Linked DNA regions of Drosophila melanogaster. The protein of the gene in region 4 interacts with the protein of the main gene of each other region in a pairwise test. Each region holds a gene or a part of one and is shown on either strand. Other genes may lie near its edges.

The links.
Region 1: the proteins of aspr (region 4) and nub interact in a two-hybrid assay, tested with the Drosophila melanogaster proteins (one large-scale study listed by BioGRID).
Region 2: the proteins of aspr (region 4) and sala interact in a two-hybrid assay, tested with the Drosophila melanogaster proteins (one large-scale study listed by BioGRID).
Region 3: the proteins of aspr (region 4) and Mob2 interact in a two-hybrid assay, tested with the Drosophila melanogaster proteins (one large-scale study listed by BioGRID).

Annotation. Positions count from the first base shown.
Region 1 is NT_033779.5:12,586,080-12,590,635, reverse strand, and holds the start of nub (nubbin), read right to left. Parts: upstream 3,012-4,556; 5' UTR 2,584-3,011; intron 1-2,583. UniProt on the Drosophila melanogaster protein: DNA-binding regulatory protein implicated in early development. Involved in neuronal cell fate decision. Repressed directly or indirectly by the BX-C homeotic proteins.
Region 2 is NT_033779.5:11,483,073-11,487,498, reverse strand, and holds sala (spalt-adjacent), read right to left. Parts: upstream 2,793-4,426; 5' UTR 2,468-2,792; intron 2,319-2,467; 5' UTR 2,285-2,318; coding exon of another isoform or gene 1,772-2,284; 5' UTR 1,745-1,771; exon of another isoform or gene 1,716-1,744; intron 1,418-1,715; 5' UTR 1,290-1,417; coding exon 1,278-1,289; intron 1,208-1,277; coding exon 791-1,207; 3' UTR 550-790; downstream 1-549. Other genes in the region: CG43355 (uncharacterized protein), read right to left, coding at 1,772-2,284. UniProt on the Drosophila melanogaster protein: Likely to be involved in the establishment of the head.
Region 3 is NT_037436.4:11,550,107-11,554,961, forward strand, and holds the start of Mob2 (Mob2), read right to left. Parts: upstream 3,007-4,855; 5' UTR 2,724-3,006; intron 2,588-2,723; exon of another isoform or gene 2,433-2,587; intron 1-2,432. UniProt on the Drosophila melanogaster protein: Required for the normal morphogenesis of a variety of polarized outgrowths including epidermal hairs, bristles, arista laterals, and dendrites.
Region 4 is NC_004354.4:20,146,304-20,154,158, reverse strand, and holds the start of aspr (asperous), read right to left. Parts: upstream 6,036-7,855; 5' UTR 5,901-6,035; coding exon 5,898-5,900; intron 4,098-5,897; coding exon 3,923-4,097; intron 3,562-3,922; coding exon 3,323-3,561; intron 3,215-3,322; coding exon 3,133-3,214; intron 1-3,132.

The DNA.
Region 1 (4,556 bases), on a different chromosome or scaffold from region 4:
ATATGTGCAATAAATTTCGTATTTATAATGATAATAATAATGGAATAAATGTCATGACTTTTTTAGAGTTAATAAACATATACTTAAGAAGACACTTGCTAATGTGCCAAATATCAGGTACGCAGCCCTTAACTTAACGCCACTTGAGGCAAGTTGTATCGCACCGGACCTTACCTAACGCAAACCATCGAAACAAAAAAGTGAAAAACCGGTGCAAACCGATTTCCAAGATTGCGAAATGTGAAACGTGTTAAGCGAAACAAGCCCCCCAATGAACTTTGCGCGGACTAAACATCAGCCCATATTTCAAGATTCTATTGTTTACCCCCGGTGAAAGAATTACGAGTTCCAAGAATTGAATTTAATAAACTTTAATCACGAGCCTTCAACTTATTTGTTAATTTTGCAAATTATATTTTATTGTATCGCGCCAATCGAATTTCCGCACGAAGAAGATAGTAGTGGGGGAAAGGACCCTTTTAACGAATTTGGCTTATCAACCGCAAAGAAATCAATAATTCTTATCAACCATCCGCTGATTCTTTTGGTCGCCAAGTCTCAAGTGATTCATATTTAAATGATATACGGAAATGATTAGCTTGATAAGAATCTAATTCACTGATATATGACCTCATTTTACAAATTATTTAAAGCGGGTGACTATAAATCTATTTTCGGAATGGGAGTAATATGCTCCTAACGTAATGAAAAACTCAAATCCTAATCACCTTTAAAAGTAAGTAACTTTAAAGAGTAAAAAAAAAGACATTTTCAGAGCACCTGTCACCTTTGAGGATCCTGCTATCAAATCGATACCCATTCAATTGATTAGTTTTTTTGGGGCTTGGCCGAAATTTCATTGTTGAACATGAACAATTTCATTGTTGATATGCAAAGTGCTGGGGTATGAAGTGTGTGGCATGGCACTGGTTCTTGGCTCTTGACTCTATCTCAACTCTCCTCACCTCACCACCCAACCAACCTGCGAACGGAGTTGTCTTATCAGGCCAGAGCAAACAAATTGAACTCATTTCTCTTTTTAAACAACAGCTTCGACGCAATTGTCGACACGGGTCTACGCATAGATATAGATACTCCAATAAGAACCAACTCGTCTTGGTCTTCTTGGCCCGGTCGGGCTTAATCAGTTCAGTTCGGCTGGAGGAGCACCGAATATGGTAAATGGGAAAACGCAGTCGAGATAATGCTACGCCAAGAACGAGAAGGAGAAGAAAGAAGCAGGTTAAGTTTTTCCATTCCATTTTTATCTAATTAGGCTAAGCAGGCAACGCGACAAACGCTGGACAAATATTTATTATTGTACTGTAAAAATAATCAATCACTCGATCGTTACAGCAAATGGTAATGGTATCTGTACGGCTGTATCTATATACGCCACCCAGATAACGGCATTTGAATAAGAAAAAAATAAAGAACGAGTGTCCAACCAAAAGGAAATGCAGTTCCAACTTGTCCAGAGGCACTTGAACTCAAAACTGCGGCACACCACAAGTGTTATGCTAATAAAACATATCGTGCCGATCGCCTTATCAATAAGGCAACATAATATACGCTTGTGTATTGATATAGATATACACATTAAACAAATCGAACGGTGGGTTGGTACGATATTTAAAGTGTAAATCGATCGATTTTTCTCGCACTTTGTTTGCCGTATTTATTTATTTCAATTTCAATATTATTTCTCGCCTCACCGTTCACCCCCGGCGACATTGCGAAAGATACTGGAGTTACAGGTATCCCACTTCAACTTTTGTAGAGTAAACTTTGATGCAGGTTCTGTTTACCTCCGGTCTGAAACTCAAGGCGCCTTACTTAAAAATGGTTTATACAATATCCCCCCTCTTATATGGTATACATTTCCTTTACTTTCAGTAATTTTCAGTAAATTAAGTGGTGAAAAGCCCGTTTTATAGATTGTCAAACACTATTTACTGCTGCGGGGTGGGGTAAAACCCTTTAAAAACGCTAGGCAACATAAATTCAAAAATGTTTCATTTATTAAAGCTTGTTAGAGATTGCAGATTAGGATTGTGAAATTCTACACGGCTTTGATTAATTGAATGAATCATGATTAGGGTCCAGGTGGCCTGGGGAACTCTTATCAACAAAAATTTCGGATGTCACTTGTTGTAAAATTGTTCAATCTTTTAGTCAAAAAAGGTAAGTCATTTTCGTAATTAGAAAATCAGTGAAGTTATTTATTAAATGACCCATTATTATTTTCTTTTATAAATAAAACATTTATACAATTGTATTTCTTTCCTAAATTTGTTGGTTACCAAGGTATTTAAATATTTATATACCAAAAAGATGACTGTAAGCAATTCTAAAATTTTTCAAGAAGCTTCAGACCCTTGGTCTTGGTTTTCAATCATTAAAAAATTTATTTTTGTGGTAACTACAACTTTAAATTTATTTTCTGCACATGTATATTGTTATTTTATTTTCATGTATAACAACTTGTACACAAATAATCAACCTTTCTAGATATGTGTCAATAAAATTTCTATGAATTCTTTTATATTTTTCATAGCTTAATTTAATACTCATGGGATTTACCTCAATTGTTGAGTTTTTCAGACAAACATTTCAATCTTTAAATATCAAATTCATTTCGTTCAAGTGAATAAGTTATTAGTTATCACTGTACTTTATCTGCACAATATGGGGCACTCTTTAAAAACTATAAGCGTATAGTTTTTCAATAAATTATGATGTTACTATGAGCGAAATTTGCGTCTCATTCGCAGCACGTTTCGATTCGCACAAATGCCGTCGTCAAAACGCAAAAAACTGCGGCACAAAAAGAGATCGGAAAAATCGCGACGCGAGAGCGATGAGAATGGGGATTTTTATTAGAGGGGTTCATTCGGGATCGTATTGTATCGGTCGAGTAGCGCATGGGATATCGCGGAGGACAAAATGTGTTGCCAAAGTCCGGGGAGCGCGCGCACTTGAGCTACAACCACTGAACGCTGAACTCAACTGAGGCGAGCTCGCCAAAAGTATCTTAAAGATGCGCAACAGATCGGCAACTTTAACGGCAGCGGGCTGCAACAAGTTTTTTTTTGCCAAATCCATATAAACAAAAGGCAAATAAACAAACGGCAGTGCACTGAAACAATTGCAATGTGAAGTGTCTCTGTGTTCGGGTTTTGCTGTAAGTGTGCGTGACTTTAGTTGCTCGTATCTGCTGCAGGTACTTGCACACACAGATGCACACCTGCTTGCAACATTGCAATTGCAGGAGAGGGATAAAAGAGAGCGCTTAAGCTCTCTCAAAACCGCAATGAGTTATGTTTAAACATTAATTCATTTTAGTGTAAAAAAAAACAATTAAGTTTAGTTTGAGAGCTAAAATTCTCTTGTCTCTGAAAAACTCTCGCTCTTGCTCTCTCTGCGCGCTCTCCACTCACCACTACTACTGCAAAAAGCAGCGATCGCTCACTTAGGTTCCACAAAAAGCTGACCCGTTGGGGAAAAAGAGACAACTAATCGCGCTCGCTAATTTTCACACACACTCTTGCAATATTCAAATCTGGTTGCTCGCTGTCCCTCTCTCACTTGCATGCTCCCTCGCTTTATTTAAATTTATGATTATCGCCCCCTTGTGTGTGTGCCTACTTAATCCAATTGGAGGTGGAGCCGTGACTCTCCGTCCAATTGGGAGATACGTTCGCATAGACTCTCATTCCGCCTGCATATATCGCCTCGTTAACTGTCACATTGACGCAGGTGGGGGCTTTATCTTTATTTTGGGGCCCGGACTTATCCAATTGGATTTTTGTTTTGCAAACTGGTTTCGCCAACGCCTCTTATTGGCAGCGTTATTTTTAGGTTTGCTTCGGCTATTATCTAAGTACAAATTGATTAGAGGAATGCGAATTTGTAGTAAAAGCTTTTAATTGCGAGGGAATTTGAATTTATTGCGATTTATTTCCCTTTGGCTTAATTCAGTACAATACTTTTGTATTGAAATAAATAAATTTATATATGTATCTTGCCATTCATTCTTGGTTTCATCCAGATAAGAAATTATATGTAATTATATAACTAGATAATTATACATTTTCTTTGTTTTACTACGTGCTTACTTACATTTTGCTAACAATACCTTAAAAAAAAAACTACACAAAATTATTATTTTACACATGATAAAAAATAGTTCTGTTTATATGGAGTGTATTTAGTTTGTCATCATCTGGATAAACTCAACAATGTAAATTAATCGTCAAAAATTCGAAAGAAATATTTCCCAGCTAAACGGTTATCCATTGAATGGCGAAGAGCATTCAGGTTGGACCTGCCCCGCGGAGTTTCCATTGAAGGGCATTGTTTTGGAGGGCGCCGCTGCTTCACAAATCGCATACGCACGATCTGCTGACACAATTCCGCCAGCAATTAAGTTGATTCACCTCCGCGGGCTGGAGATTTTACCTGTTGCTCAATTTGCCGGCATTTAAAAAAGCTGTCAACAGCGATCGGGAATCGGGTATCGGCGCGATCGACGACCTGGGTGCATAATTCCGGCC
Region 2 (4,426 bases), on a different chromosome or scaffold from region 4:
AGAAAGCAGCAGCAGCAGCAGCAGGTGAAGTAAATGGCAATAAAGGAGAAAAATTAATTTTATCCTTTCCATTTCCGTTGTTGCGCGCATCAGTGTGTGTGCGGTTTTCCTTCTCACTCTTTCCTTGGCCGTGTGGGTGGCAGTTTTTCCCGCACATTTTTTTTAGTTTTCTTCAGCTTTTGCATTATTTTAACGTGTGCTCTTTTTTCCCACCCTCACCTCGACTCTATTTTTTTTCCTTCGTTATAAATCTTGAGGTTGAGCACTCGACTGGACGCCATTTTTTATTTTTCACCTTCAGCCCCCACCCACCTGAACCCCACCCTTTACCATTCCCTCCCCATTCCCCCTTTTAGTCGGACGTCGCTTATTTTTCAATTCTGTCAGCTGCTTTGGTCAGAAAATGTCGCTTGGGAGCGGTCGACGGCATCCTTTTCTCCGATTGCAAAAGTTGAGATGGGATGTGTGGGGTATATATGCTTGTATGCTATCTGCAAAATAATTTATAGATGCCTCAACCAAAATGGACAGAGTAAAGGGTTCCGTTTCCTTATTTACTTTTTTATTGAGACTCCGTTTTTTTTTTCATTTTAGATACTGAAATTCAAGAAGGCACGTTGTATAGTGGATCTCAAGGGGGTTTTAGATAAAGAATCACTTTTACAAATCAATTCTGGACATTAGATACAATAGAGACTTCAGAAACAAGCAAGTGTTTCTTAAGAATTTACGGTAGAGAACTATAGCATTACATTCCTTTAATTTTGTCATGGGTATTCTCATATTTGTACTAATGTCTATGATGTCCATGATGTTCGTGGTGTCCATGGTGCTCATGATGTTCACGGTGATGATCGCCATGATGTTCCGGATATTCATGAGGATTTTCGTGAAAATGACCGGACTCAACTGGATTAGTTCCATGGAAATGGCCAGATCCCACAGGACTTCCGTAACCAGGCTGATATTGGTTTGGAGAACCTTGTCCAGCGAATCCTCCTTGACCCGGGTGGACTCCGCCTTGACCAATTCCCACCTGGCCACCAACTCCACCCTGTCCAGTGAATCCTATTTGTCCACCAAAACCTGCTTGCCCGCCGATTCCTCCGAATCCTCCAAATCCTCCTTGCCCTCCATATCCTCCTTGTCCAACTTGGCCGAATCCATTCTGAGCGTTCACAGCGGTCACCAGTGCAAACAGAGCAATCTATAGTTATAAATTTGTTATTATAAAAATATTTCTAAGTTAGTTAAGATTTCTATAGTAGAAGACGCACCAGTAGTTTCATCGTGGCTGAAGTTTCGGTACTGAGGCGGCTCTAATATTTTTTTGATTTTTATACCACGATTTGGTAATATCAAGTAGGTAGCTGAAAGGTATTCTACCTGGCTGAGGGACTTAAGTTTGAGTCTCTACCTGTAAAAGGAAATCACAGAAAAGTATTGCCGTCAACATCTGGTTACGATGGAAAATAAAATAAACCAGTTTATTGGAAGAGGGAAAATGGAAAAACAGAAAAATCCGGAATTGAATAGAATACTAATACTAATTCAGTACCATATTGAAATGACGGAAATATAAAGGAGTTTTTAAATTATTTGTTTATTTATATTTATTTATTTGATATTTGAAAAGTTTTTATCAACATAACATTACTCGATTTTTTTGATCAGGAAAATCCGGATAATATAAAATCATTAATAAGACATTACTCAGATACAAGATATAACATAGTGACTTTACCTTTTTTGAAACATTTTCTACTGTTGTCTAAATATCAATGATTTCGTATTTATTTTTTCCAGGTATTTCATCAGTAGGAACTTCGCCACCGGGAATTGGAGATTGGAAGCTGCCATGCTGATCGTCGTTTGAGGTTTCGTTGTGAGGTCTTTCGGTACCAGGAAATCCACTTTGAGGTGGACCGCCTCCTGGGCAACCGCAATGCGGACACCCTCCTGCTGGAGATCCAGATGGTGGGGGGTGGTGTGAAGAAGGAGGCGGAGGTGGCGGAGGAGGATATCCCTGCCAATGGTGGCCACCATACAGATATCCCCCTGGTGGTGGATAATGGGGCGGTGGTGGAGGTGGACCGTATCCCTCCCAAAAGTGACTTCCATGTCGATGGGGGCGATGAGGCGGTGGTGGAAAAGGCTGGTGCTGGTGTCCGTGTCCACAGCGTCCACCAGCACCATGTCTGCCACGATGGTGATGATGGTGACGAGGGGGAGGTGGACCTCCGTGTGGGTGATGTCCTCCTCCAGAAAATCGCCGACAGCCCATCTGATCGAGTCTCAGATGAATTTAGAGCAACGATCTGAAAAGATGTATGACTAATATTTTTGAGAACAAGATGCATTTGAATCTTTTTATATGCAAAAATTATTATATATGTTTATACGTCCGTTGTACATACATATGGTAAGCTGATAAGAATATTTTCTATGTATATATTCATTGACTTACATTTTTTCCTATTTCTATCTTAATGGAAACAATATACAGTAAATAAATGTTTGTTTTGCAACTGGTTTATTTTAGCGTACTTATTAATACGTCATTTATTTGTTGCTTTTAATAGCTAAAACAAGTTAGAATTCGATTTGTTGACGCAGTGGCCGAATTCATTGATATATATAAGTCTGGATATTTTTTTCTCTATCAATAAATATTTTAAAGAATAATTCCTAATACAAGTAAAGGCAAAAAGAAAAACCAGCGCACAATTAATTGCTTTGAATTTTGTTGTTTTGAACACAAGAATTGGATCAGCTGCTTAAATGTTATTTACAATTTAGAGTGGCATTGTATTTGGTTGCCAAAAAATAATATATAGGTTTATTTTTGGAAGAGTTGTTTGTTGATAACATATCGCCGCCAAAAATACTACAAGTTCAAATGCTTATGAGATTAAAAGTAAATTCGGAGGTGAAAAGCAACCATTTAAATAAGCAATATTGTTAAACTTTAAAACTGTGAAAATTATATTTGATTATCTAATTACATTTTCAATCTATCTCTTTATTTGTGGAGTCTAGTGATAACCAAAGAATTAAACAACTAAATCGTCTTAATTTCCGAGAAGCTGCTTAGCTATTATTATGCCTACGCTTGCCTTAAGTATTTATCCTTGAGTAAGGAAATCCTTCTGGGCGGAAAGAAAATCCAGCGGCATAAAGTTATGTGCCCAGGGCCAAAATTTTAATTCCAAATTTAATTTTCAGCCATTTTCCTCATTTTCCCCGGATGAATTTGTCAGGGCGTGTCGCATTCGGAAACCACTCGCCGGGGAATGAAGTGGAGACAAAGACATCTCGGGAAAAGGAAACATTTTTTGGCTTATGCCAAAATTACATCAAAAAGCGCTGCGGGTATGTAGGTATGTAGACAGACGTGGCAATTCCCATCTTAGGATTGAGTAAAGTGGCAAAAGGACGAGGGGCAGGCTGGAGCTGAAGGATTGCTGAGCCTTGGAAGTGGCAGGGAGTGAATGTCGTGAAGATATGCCAGGACCCTTGGAGAAAAGTTGAGCGGACCGAGGAACAGGGTTTGGTGATTGCTATCTTCATAATGACTTTGAAGTGTCAAACAATTTTGGGGAATTATCAACGCCCGCCTCGTCTTTCGCAAAGGTGAAAATGAAAATTGTACTTTTTGTTTGACTCAAACTTGATGGGGCCAAACTGAAGATATAATTATAATTTAATTGAAATGAAATTGTCGCTTAAGTCGAGTAGAAAAGGAATGGTATTGCGGCATTGGTAGACTCCAGGGGTAAAGCTCTCAACTTAATATTTTGCTGGCTAAAAATTTGGGCAGATGCGAAATACTCTTGGCTGAGCTGTAAAAGTGAGTCAATAAAATACACAACTATTTGCGCACCAATTTAATATGCCACATAGGCAAGTTAAAGGAGTTCGCCCAGCTCAAGTTTTCCGAGGGATGCGACAAAATACATTGGGTTGACAGAAGCCCATGAAGGGCCAAAAAGAAAAGCACACCGAGTTTCTGAACAGGTCCGAACAATGTCCGAGGAAAATCAATTTAATTTTTACTCATGTTCATGGCGTGACCCCTCGATAATCCATGGAAAAGGGGACGAGGTCGTCCTGCTGCTGAGCCGCCTGAGGTGGAAATTTCACTTAAGTCACTTTCAACTTTCGCAAGATGCCATCAAAGTTGGCTCCAAAGTTACTGGTCAGTTGATTTTTCCACCTCCTGGGGCGGCGGCCATTACCACCGATATTTACATTTTACCCAACCCACGGGGAAAACCTTTTCTCGAACACGATCTCCCCCAGCGCTCTCCAAACTTATGAAAAGTTTCGGTGAATTTGCGATAATGCTTTTTTTGGCTGGTGGTATATACATTTAACTTCAGCGCACGTGTGTCAGCTTTTCATCATATACTCTTCACAATTTTCA
Region 3 (4,855 bases), on a different chromosome or scaffold from region 4:
AAAGAGGTACCCTGTACATTTCGATCTTTGATTTTCTATTGATATGAAGATCCTCTTTCTTCAATGTAAAACTAATTCGTTCTGTTAGTATTTTTTATATTTTTTGTGCTTTTAAATTTTAACTTTACGAAACTAATATCCCAAATTTCTCATGAAACTCTTTGTGCAGCTTAAAGCAAAAACTTTTAATTGCTTGCAGACAATACTAGGAAGCCAATAAAATGGTCTGAAGTGCGTGCTAAAAAAAAAGTACGAAAAATCGAAAGATGACAGAAAAGGGGTTAATGCCTATTGTTTTGTTTATTCAGCTCGAAACCAGCTACTGATTCCAATATCCAAAATGTTCAATTTCCGCGTCGCTGTCGCACTTAACCTTCAACTCGCATTGAAGCCAATTTGCTGACTCTGTTGTCTTTTCCCCCCAAACGAGTTTTGTCTTTTGTGCGCCCCCCTTCTAGTATCGTTTTCACACCTCCGCACACAGAACAACTGGCGCCCCATCAAAACCGAAATTTATGATGTGATTCTAGCAACGCGACGGCGAGTGTTTTTTTTTTCTTAGATTGCCCATTGCTCGCGTTTTGAATGAGCTTAATTGTTGCCGATTTGAGTGTGCTTTTCATGTATATGCAGCACAACCCGTTAAAGGTCAAATGAGCGATTGGCAAAGTCGAAAGAGAGAAAAAAAAAATAGAAACCGAAACCGAAAATGAACCCCCACCCCCTTTGCTCGCTAGAAAAGCTGGAGAATTATGTCTATGTCTGCTAACGAAAGAAATGAAAACGAGTTCCACAACTGGCAAACGACGAGCAGGAAGACGACAGCAGATATGGAAAGGGAGATAGAAGCTGTGCAGCGGTACGGTGACGTGAGATGTGCGATGCACATGCAATGGATGACATGATATACATAGTAGATAGGTGTATCTCCGTACCCCCACCACCAAACCCCATGCCAAGCCGTACAAAACCCATCCATATATATCTTCGAGCTGGTTTGGGTTGTTCTGTTCTGTTCGCTTCATTTTGGTTTGGTTTGGTCTGGAAGAGCTGACCGGCGGGCAGGCAGAGCATCATACATACATACATATGGCATAACGGTTCGGCGGAAAGGCGCAGAGAAGTTTTCGGGTCGCTAACTAACCCAGTTACCAGAGATTCATCCGACAGCGTTTATAACTGTGACTATCCTTTTCATATGGGTTAAACGATCGATTGAGATACACGTCGAATGAAAACAGTCCCAATAGAACCGAAATGCATATGTATGAATTCGATTAAATGCGATTGCTGAGTTACTAAATTAGTATCTATACGATTTTGCTGGAATTGCTTAATGGGGAAATACCGTGAGAAAAGTGTTTCATAACGGGGGCAAAACGTTCAATCGCAAATAGTACATAGATACTTTTCTATACCATTATATATCGAACTAAAATTGTTAGTTTGGATAAATATCATAGTGCTTCTTCCTAATTAGTTCCTGAGCTTACATAAATCCTTAACATCCGCAACACAGAAGGGCCTACACAGAAAACGAATCGAATTCGGTTAGATAATATCGCACCACAAAGGCTTGAATCAATTTCATTTCCTCTGCCTTCCGCAAATTGTCCATGGCAATTCAACTATGGGAATCCGCAACTAGTTCCAGTTGGCTTTGCAATTTTTAGCATGACCTCAAAAAATCGATGGATGGCCTAGCGCATTTGAGGACCCAAAGGGTTGGCGAGGGGCAGTGGTAGGAAGGCGCGGGGGGTCTGGACGAAAGGTGTGAGAAATAACAAGCTGCTGGTTGAGCCACTCGTAACTGTTGTTTTCTCAGCGTATTGAACACGTAGGCGCGTCAACGGGGTTGACAAAAAGTAGAAACAACGCAACCAGGATGTGCACGGAAAAAAGAGGAAATACTCTAGGCCCAATAAGATATATCATTATTTTAAGATTTTCACTCTTTTTATTTTTAGAAGGTATTTAAAGGCAGTTTGAATAAGGATATATTCCATAAAAACCTATCTTTAAATAATTCTTGTGAAAACTGTCAAATGAACCCTAACAATACCCCCATTTCTTTCTGTGTGGCAGAGAAAACACCTGACAATGCAGTTGAGTGTGAGGGGGCGTTAATAAGGGAGGGTTGAGGGTTGCAGGGCAGACAACCAGACAAGCGGACGAACAGACAGGAAGCTCGTGAGGAAGGAAGTTCCTGCCGCTGCGGCAAAGGAAGTGGTTAAAACAATATGGCAGTGGAGGAACAAGTAGTGGTGGAGTGGCAGTGGCAGTGGCACACCAAGCAACATTGTGAATGCCCAATGTACCGTTGTTGTTGCTGACGCTGGAGTAGCAGCTTTGCTGCAGCGTTGCAGTTGTTGCTGGTGTGCCAATTCTAAGCGCTGCATTGGCAACAGTCGCGCTTCGCCGGTTTCGCAACTGAACTCTCAGCTGCTATTGCTCCTCTGCAGTTAGTTGCTGTTGCTTCTGCTGCTGCTGCTGTTGCTGCATTGCGCGTAATCAGTGAAGCAACAAACCGTGGCAGCTAGCTGCAACAGCAACAATAACACGCCAGCAGTCGCGGCTCTGAGGAAAAACTTGAATGCAGTTTTTCGCAGCGAATGACACAGTTTCACACCAGCACGGGAAAACACTAGCACACACACAGAGAAGAACTTCTTTTCTTTCTTTCTTTTTTTTTTTGTTGGAGAACAGACTCCTTTTCGGCTTACATTTGTTCCCCTTTTCGGGATATTAGTTTGTATTGGTAGGCGATTTTATTTCACAATCTAGCATAGCATTTCACGGTGGCAATTGATGTTGCAAATGTTGCGCTGCTTGCTGCTGGAGTTGCTGTTTTGCTTTTAACTGCGACGCGATGATGTGTGGTTGCAACCGACGGCGGCGCCTCGAAAAACAATGTCAAATAATGACGCGGCGACATCAACAGTCCACTATTGACGACGACCTGCAACCGCTCGAGCGACCAAGCGTGCCAAAGGAAATTTCTACACTGAGCCAAGCCGTCCGTCTTTGACTGACTGCTGCTCGTTCGGCTGGCAACAGCAACACATACACATACACAGCGGCAACAACAGCAACACACAGCGGCAACATCAACACTCACGCAAGTAAGGAGAGAAAAAAGGCAGCAAAAGCAAAAACACAAAACTGGCAACGAAAGCAGAGCACACAGTAAAGATGAAGTGGTTGCTGTTGTTGTTATTGTTGCTGCTGATGTTGCTGCTGTCTCGCACACCAGCAACATTTGCTCTCCGCTCGAGCGCGAGGAAGAGAGCTAGAGGTATCAAATACCAGCTGAGCGGGAGAGAGCTGCCCGTGTACGTGTTTTGCATACAAATGCGCCACTCAAGCGAGACACGCACATCTATACGGTTTTCGACCACTTGTTTGACTGCTTTGGCTTTAGCCCTCTCTCTTCTACGCTCTCTCGCATCAGCTGAGCGCTCATGTTTTGATGCTCAGCAGCTGACTGCGCTGGCGTTGCCACACAGCTCGGTAACAAGAGAACACGGCAAAGTGGCAGTAGAATAGTAGCAGAATCTACTACTTTTTTAACGCATTGAACAAACCTAGGATAAACTCTATAAATAACAATTAGAAATTAATTTTCCACGAAAAGGGATAATTGTACCGTTCGTATGAAACATTTAAATGGATTTCTCATAAATATATTGCCATTGTTGATTCATTAACACATGGTTTTAATGATCACAGGTAAACGAAATAAATTCGGCAAATTTAATGGCTAACACAATTTCGTACAATTGACGCAAACATCACATCACTTATGTACTTTTACCAAGAACACTAATTGGCTTGATAACAATCTGTTCAACTAAAACATCATAGAGTTTTGTTAAAGCGCTAAACATTTATTTAATACGTTTAATACTCTAAGCATGTTATAATTTTTTTCTCAGTTAAAATGACTGCTCTAATTGACTTAAACAAATTACCTGGGATTTGGGTAAGCTCATGCTCAAGATATTTCACTCACCTGAAAGGAAAACAGAAAATAAAGAATTAAAGATATATTCCAATTTGTTATTCTCGATGGTAAGGACCTCCAGCTACGTGGTTCTTATCAATGAAGTGACCCCAAGCCCGCATGAAATAGCTACTCCTCTGACCATCAAATCTCTCCACAGGGAGTAATTATCACGCTCTTTTTCGGCCAGGAAGAAATAAAATCAGTAATCAAATAGAATGGAGCGGTAGACGAAAACCGAAGAACACAGGAACTGCATTTGCTGCCTAACTTACACAGAATCTAGACCCGAATAAGAAAACATAATATAAACGCATCGTCATTCTGCGTAAATAAAGTTGAAAACAGGAACACGCAATGCACTTAGATAAATTTGGACCGACATGTGTGGTATTCATTAAGCGAATAACTAAAAAGAATGATTAACAAAAACACAACAGTACCAACCCACATAAACTTATTTTATATTTTTAAATTTACTAGACAATTGCATTAATACACTTTTTTTCGAGTGTATCTCAAAACAGCTGTCCATTGACGAGCTGAAGAAAAACAAGAACAAATACGACTGGGGCGAAAAGGTGAGAAGCGGATAGAGGAAAAGGAATCTTGGCAGCAGAGAACGCGCACCTGTGACCGCCCGCAATGCAACCGAAACGGCGGCAAGTTCATTTGCACCACATCAAAATTTCATCCACACTATGCTGCGCACACACACACACGAAGCGTGTAATGGAACATCTGATCCGTACCGCCAACTCTATGGCCCTCTCTTTCCACCCACACAGCACAGCAACCATCTCACTTGCTCCAAAAGGTGGTAACGCTCGGCTGCTTTCTAGCGGTTCAACT
Region 4 (7,855 bases):
GACACACAGCAGTGTCGTAGACTCGCCCACAAAGCTGTCTGCAACAGTATATTTTGAATGCGGCATGGCGATGATGGATTCATTTCCATCTGAGCAAGACTTTTCAGTAAGTAAGTGCTATATTGCCAAGTTCAAGTGTCGATTTAGTTGAGTCTATGAAAAGTTCAATCGGCCGACGAAGGAAGTTGTTTTCCACCCGACCTTTCACCTTTCACCTTTCACCATCGTTGGGGGTTGTGGCCCCTGTCAACATCCGCTGTTGCTGCCCCATTTTTGATTTATGCCGGGTCATGTGACTTGTGTTCCGGTCAAATCGGGAAAATACCTCCAATGGGGCCAATAATTGGGGGCCGGCCACTCAAAGTGGGCAAATAGAAAATCATATTCAAATAGCCGGGCTCATTTATGCGCATATTTTTGGTTTTTACCCCATATTTTCTTTTATTTTTGCACCAATTGTTGTTACTCGTCGTTCAAGATGATGATGATGATGATGGTGATGATGATGATGATGATGATGGTGGTGGTGCGGTGAGCAAGTCAAGAAATTAGTTTGCGTTGTTTTCCGTTCCGATGGCAAAAGTTTCGCCATTATCAGGCCTTTTCTCTTACATTTCCTTTTGACATAATTTGCGAGAAGCAGCAACTTTTCCGCGCCGGGAAAATGTATTGTAATGAAATGTGGAGTTCGGTTTTGAAAATCGATTGCAAAATGTCTTGCAACGAAAGTCGGAAATGCTCGTCGTCGACATTAAATCGATGTATTGGTAGATTTTCTTCGAAATATATAGCTAACCAAATAGTTATTTTTTATTATCGGCGTGGCAAACGCATTGTGGACCTTTAAATGTTAGCAATTCATTTGTATTCCTGCACGAAATCTTTAAGGCAAATGTCCGTGAATGTTTTCAGTTGGTCTGCAACACGCCCAAAGGGAATCGCAACTGCTTCGGCTCCCCAGGAACATGAATGGAAAAGAATCCGGTGTCCTTGGGGCGGCAGCAGGGAACATCATGGAGCAGGGAATCCGAGCTACTTCCATTCCCCGCAGACTGTTCGTTTGCAATTATTGTTTCCAAGTCAGTTGCTAATTGGAAATGCAAATAAATATTGTATTTCAATGGGAATTGCACGCAAACGGAGGCCGGAGTAAAGGCAACACAGAAAGGGATTTAAGTGAAATCAAGAATATATGTATATCGGAGGACCAGTTAAGATGCAGAAATCGGAAAAGGGGCGAGAAATGCCAGGCCCTTGGACTCGACACGAATCCCGAATGAGCAACCAACGTAGAGATGCAATTTATTGACGCCGACTCTTGGACGGACAGCAATTGAAATTGGTTTTCAACTGACTTTATTTTAAAGAAATTCAAGCCAAAGATAATATTTAGCAGCTCAATATTGGCGTTAAAAGTTAAGGAATATAATAGATTCGTTGAGGTAGAAGACCCCCCCCCCCCCCCCACCCATCAAATAATTTCCTGGTTAGAAGTTCTAGTTAATTTGCCTTTTGAACATGTGCGTTTGTCCGTTCGTATAAAAGCCAGAATGTTGGTAATAAACAAGCAGGTCCTAGTGACATTTACACCGCTCAACTTTCACGGTCACAATTTAGAAAAAAGCTTTCAATTATGTGTTAATTTTAATATTTATAGTTAAGAAATTCCCAGCAGGAATTATTTCAACTAATGACGGAACCTGCGCTTAGCCACTATTTATGGCAAGTTCTGAATATGAAGTGTTTGGAAATGTTACTATTCCCATTTAGAACGCTTAAATATTTAAGCCGATCAAATTACGTTCAGTGTGCTTCAGTTTGTCGTTCTAAAGATGATATTTTTCAATCAGTTTCTTGCAGTGTAGCCCCCGGGTGGATCAAGTTGTCTTCTTCCAGCGAAATTCCCAAGCCACTCGGCCGACCTGTGCTACCTGAATGGTAGCTGGCCGACCTGCGCAGCTTATGACCATAATCGGATGTTGACTGGTGCCTAACCGGGGCCACCTTTCGGTTCCGTCGGATTCCAGCTCTACTAGGCTCGACTACGGACACTCGTTGGCCTTGAGAGCTCGCCCACTGCGTCCTTGATCTTGACAATTGCGAAGCGAAATGCTATGCTAATTACCATAAAATTACAAAGGCCCCAAGTGTTGGGCGTTGGCCGTTGGCTTTGGATTATTATTATTATTATTATAATTCTCATTATCATCGAGTGCAAAATGTTATGCAAGCAAGGTAAACCCACATGCTGTCCAGAGGCCCAGCCCCCTGTTTTTGTCAATACACTAGATTTGACCAAATTTGGCAATACCACTTGGATTTGCGACGTCATCTTGCCACTTATCTAGCACCTCATTGTGGAGAAGGGATTCGCGAGTGGGCTAATTAATCGATGTACCTATGTCAATCCATGTCTATATCTATGCATTTCCGGAACAATCAGTCGTATGTCCACTTTGCATTAATGCAAAAAAAAAATAATAATAATAAATAAAACATAATAAACAACATGAGTTGTTTACAAATTGTTTACAAATATGTCGCGATCTATGTGTTCATTTAGTTTGAAATTTTTCTATTAGACAAGGCATTGCATTATGCCAATTTTCAAGTGCATTCGTGTATTGCCAATAATTTTAACACTGCAAACACTCCGCTCCTCTTGGTTCATCTCATTGTTATGTAACTCAGTAAAGAAACCTGTTTGCCCTTGATTTAATTCAAGTGGTCAAGGCTTATTTCTCGGCTTGGTTTTCACATCCACACTATGTATGTACATACATGTATGATCACTTGCATCTTTTAGCTAATTAAAATTTTAACCAGCTGATGATTGTAATTCATATATTATTAGTACATAATCAATGTTAAGATGTGCGCGTTAAGAACTAAGAGCTTTTAATTGATTCGATCATCTACTAGTACATATATCTTTAAATTGTGCATTTCTCAGATTTCCCAATTAATTAATTTATTTAATCGTGAAACGAAATACACAATCGAAGCGGATTGATTTCAACAGCTCCCAGTTGAGCGAACGACTCTTATGACACCCGGCATTTTAATCGATTTTGAGCTCTGCCACGCCTACCCCGCGGCATGTGGGCGGTAGTGGAGTGGTCAGGCACTTACCCGGATCGTTGAGGTGGCAGGCGTGGTATGGGTCGCCATTGTAGCCGGCGGGGCAGCTGCACACGGCCACGTGGTTGCGGGCCTGGAAAGAGCAAGCGGAGGTGGCGTAGAGTGCCGATGGTCAGAATGCGAGGGAATGCGCCAGAAGTTGGCCGTGGAGGAGTGTTGGCGACATAAAAGTCCCACTTACGTCACAATTGGAGCCAATGCCACAGGCACCCACGCAGGGATTAACGCAGCGATTGTCCTTGCACTGCAGGTTGTCGCGACAGTCGACGTTGTCCAGGCACTCGCCGCGATTGCAGTGGGTGAGCGGATTACCGCTGAATCCGGGCGGGCACGAGCAGACGGGCCGTCCTCCGGAGGCCTCCTGGCACACGGCGTTCACGCCGCACGGGCTACCGCTGCATCCGCTCGCGTAGGACTGCGCTGTGTGGGCGAGAGGAGAGGAGAGAGGCACAGGCGGTGAGGTGATGCACTGGTGCGCAGGTGAACTTGTGTCTCAATCTAATCTCTAATGCTACGCTACTACGAGTATGGTATGTACATACATATGTATACTATACTATACTATACTATACTATACTATATACTATACTATATATATATAGGGGTTAGGGGTTAGGGGTTAGCTACTGCAGACACATTTGGGGCGCGGGGTCAATGGTCAAGGATCAAGGGTCAAGGGTCAGGGGTCAGGGTGCTGGCGGCGGTGCTCTCCTCCTATGTACATCGTGCTGGTGCGGTAAGACTACGAATACGGATACTGATAGGCAAGCTGTGTAAATACCACGTGTGTAGACCGGATCTCTATAGACAACCCGCTGCAGGGATCGCCCATCGCCGTAGGTGTAGTAAGTGCGGTACGTGCAGTTCACGCAGCGCTTCCCCAGCTTTTTACCTGCGGCCAGTTGGGGCAAGGACGCGATGGCCACCGCCACCAGGGCCACGACCAGGAGCTGCTGCTGCAAGAGAAGGATCAGCTGCGATTAGTGCTGCTATCACTTGAATTTAAATTCAATACGATACCGATCTAAGATGAATATAATATTTGAATATATTTGAATACTAACTTGAAGTAACTCCAAATGGAGTGCATTCACTAGTTCTCATTAGTAACGAAACTAAATAAAAGACAACGGTAATACAAAGATAAATGTCATATTCTGCGTCAATCGTAGAGCCAGTCGAATGAAATGAGTTTGAACTGGATTGGGATTCATTCACTAAAGTATTCGATATGAACAAACATCTCAATCGAGAAGCGAGTATCACGCCCCCTTTGCCGGTTTATGTGTCATAATCGCATTCGAGTTCTGAAAAAGCCCAATAAACATGACTAACTCGATGATCCGCTGTTTGGTAGCAAACATTGGCTTGGACTTGGACTCTCAGTGGTCAGTGGGATTCTGGTGGCACCATGTTTGGGCTAACTGGGCATGGAGATGAGACGAGACGAGACGAGACGATCGAGATGATGATATGGCTTCGCTCTCAAGGTGGCGATCATTGTTGGCGAATGACACATGGGTGATAAACTTGTTGTCCGCTTCTTTGGAAGCTCAATTCGGGCTAAAAACAATTATTCAAATATCGGCATACAATAAGAATATGCAAATGGGGGTCGGCTGCCTTTTCGAATTACTCTGAATGACCAATATGGTAGTCCATGTTCGTATCAACTAAGTTGTCGATCATCGCGTAAATGGCACGGATGGATCCACCGAGGGAGGAAATTGGATTTTTTTCTTAAATCACACATCTTGCAGGGTGATTTATAATCTGATTACATTGCGCAAGGGAAGTGAAGTGAATCAGAGCCATATTTGTTATATTATATATGTACATACATATGTACATTTAAATAATTGCTTTTGGAAGGGCGAGAACTAAATAGTCAACTATATAATCTGTTCAATCTTGAATTAGTTAAATAAAACGTAAAACCTGTCAGAGTTTAGATTAAATTAATGCTTTCTAAATTTAAATAATGAGCAAGAAAATGTTAAGTGCTCAACATAAGTAGGTAAAAAGGTAAACAATTCAAATCTATTGGACTTTTTACTCTTCTCGTAATGGCAATTAAAATAACAAGCTATGCTAAAGTGCTAGAAACTAATTGGTTTGTGTTTTTGGCTTTGTGCACAAACAAATGAATAATGGGCTTGATGTTTACTTGGGCAGCTTAAAAAGCGTTGAGTGATTGATCATCGCCAAAAAAAACAAAAAAATGGGCAGATAAAAGGCAGATCGAAGACACTCAAAAGAATAAACCGATCGTGGGCTTCAGAAACATTACGAGTATGTGGGAATATTTCTTGGTTCATTCGATGTATTTGCAAATCCATTCACCACTATTCATCTAGCCGGAAGTAAATAGCAAATAGCAAAGTTAAGTCCTTACATTGTGAAATGAATATTTTTTTTGTCGTGTTTGCTTTAAGTACATCAATATTCCATTCACGTATCATTTACTGAATGCATATTTTATGTATTGCCTTTGTGCGTAATTTTTTCACTTAAGTTTTCGCGGTGAAGAAAATAAACAGCAAATAAATGTGCAAGTTTAAATCTATATACTTATTCGTGATTCAGATTCTTTCCTTAAATCGAACCCATTTTTATTACTTTTATAAAATTGTTTATAAATTATCCATCGTTGATAGATTGCTTCAGTTTAGATGATTTAAAAAAAAAAAAGGATATATTCCTTAACACACGTTTATATATACATATTGATTTTGGTTATTCCCACTGCAACTCACCATTTTCGGGGTTCAGTTCTTAGAAAACACTAGCACTACAGCAGATAAAGAACGTAAAATAAAAAACAAAACAAAAAGTGTCAACTGATAAATGGTTGCGATTTCCCACTTGGCACGCTTCGCTTTCAACTGAGTCGGCTTCTAGACGAGCTTGGGCTATTTATAAGGCCGCAACTCTTAACTTGGCCGAGAAACAGCTGAGCGACGTTGGCGTCATCTCTCAGCTGCTCTGCTCTGCTCTGATCTGCTCACCTTCCCTTCCCGAATTCCCCTCTACCCCGCATCCACAACCCTTCCACTTACACAGAGAAAAAACTATAGTATAGCTTGATATTAAAGATTTGTAAAGTAAATTATCTCTCCTCAGGTAGTAGCATCCAATAGTTGTTGTAATTTTAACAAAATAAAGATCGGAATTTACCAAATTCATTAGTTTTATAACTAATTTACCATTATGTCTGCATAAGTTCAACTTGCTAAACTAGAAACATTTCGAGTAACGAAAGCAGTAGATCAAATTGATGAAGTAGTTAATTTAGTTATATATATTTGTTCAGCCTGTCAGTTGGAAAACTATTTTTCCCAATGCACCAGCATTCTGTCTCATAACTCTGTTTGACAAGCTTGTTTTGCTGTTTGTTGACTTTGTATATTGTGCTGCTCGATTTTAGCTAAAATCATTTCAGTCCAAATCGCTTCTCAGACTGAGTCATTCGTACACACATACATATACATATATATACATATATTTGCCTGGGCATCGGGCTATTTATATACGCGTACTTGACGCGACTTTGCTTCGGATTGTTTTGGTCATGCCTTTGCTATGATGGCTCGATTTCTGCGTGGGCCGCTGCATCCAAGTGCCGTGGGTCGAACTTGGCTGGGCTTCCTACTAAACACGGCTCCGGATCGTAGGCAACTTGGCTGTGAACGAAGAAATTGCCCACTTGACACAATGGGCAGGTCGCTAGTACTAGGCGGTACCTGGTAATATATGTACACACATATTTCTGAAAGCATCCAAAACTAAGCGACTCTTTATCTTTGTAGGATTTAAAAGACAGTTATGTCATTTAAATTTACAAATCTATTATACTATAATTTATACCGATTCTTCAAACAGAATGTATCTTATCCGCACCGGATGCCTATTACTACTAACTGGGGGAAATATTCAATATGGTCATTTCGCTAAGGTTTTTTCTTCTTTCTATTTCTTCTTAATTGGGCATAAGATATATGTAGATAATCGCATTACAAAATTTAATTAATTTCACGAATTTACATATTTTTCAATCTGAAATATGTCGGAAATTGAGGAGAACAAAAAATCGCCCATTTCCGTTCAAATAGTAAGCGAAAAGAGAATATACATAAATGAAAGAAAATAAAATTTGAAAAAAAAAAAAAACTGAGAGGCCGTAAATATTCTTGATTAGCTTGAGGTATTCCGATTCACTCATACCACACAATAAGCCAATTGGGTATTTCATTGAACATCTTCACTAACTCACTCTACCGTTTCCTAAGTCCATTTCAATGGCATTCGAGTTTAAAATATAAGCTTAGCAAGACCGGCTCCACTTTCATTCGATATCAAAAAGAACGGATTAAGAACAAACGAATCTGCACTGGAATCGAGCCAATTAAAACGAGAATCTTGACTTCTGCTGGCTGCGTGGGCATTGGTTAGAATGAATAATAGAGATGGTTTGACCTATAGCAATAAGATAATGACCATTTGCCAATTTGCAATCGACTACCATTTTCAAATGAAATGGCATCATTGAATGGCATCGCTTAAGCTCCGCAAATCGAATCGATATGGGAATATTACAGATTAAACTGCAAATTGAAACGTACGCCAATTGGCCATAATTGAATGAGAATTCACCTGACGACCGATACGGGCACCTGTTCTTTGGGCCAACTTAATTATACCGTCTTGGCCTACA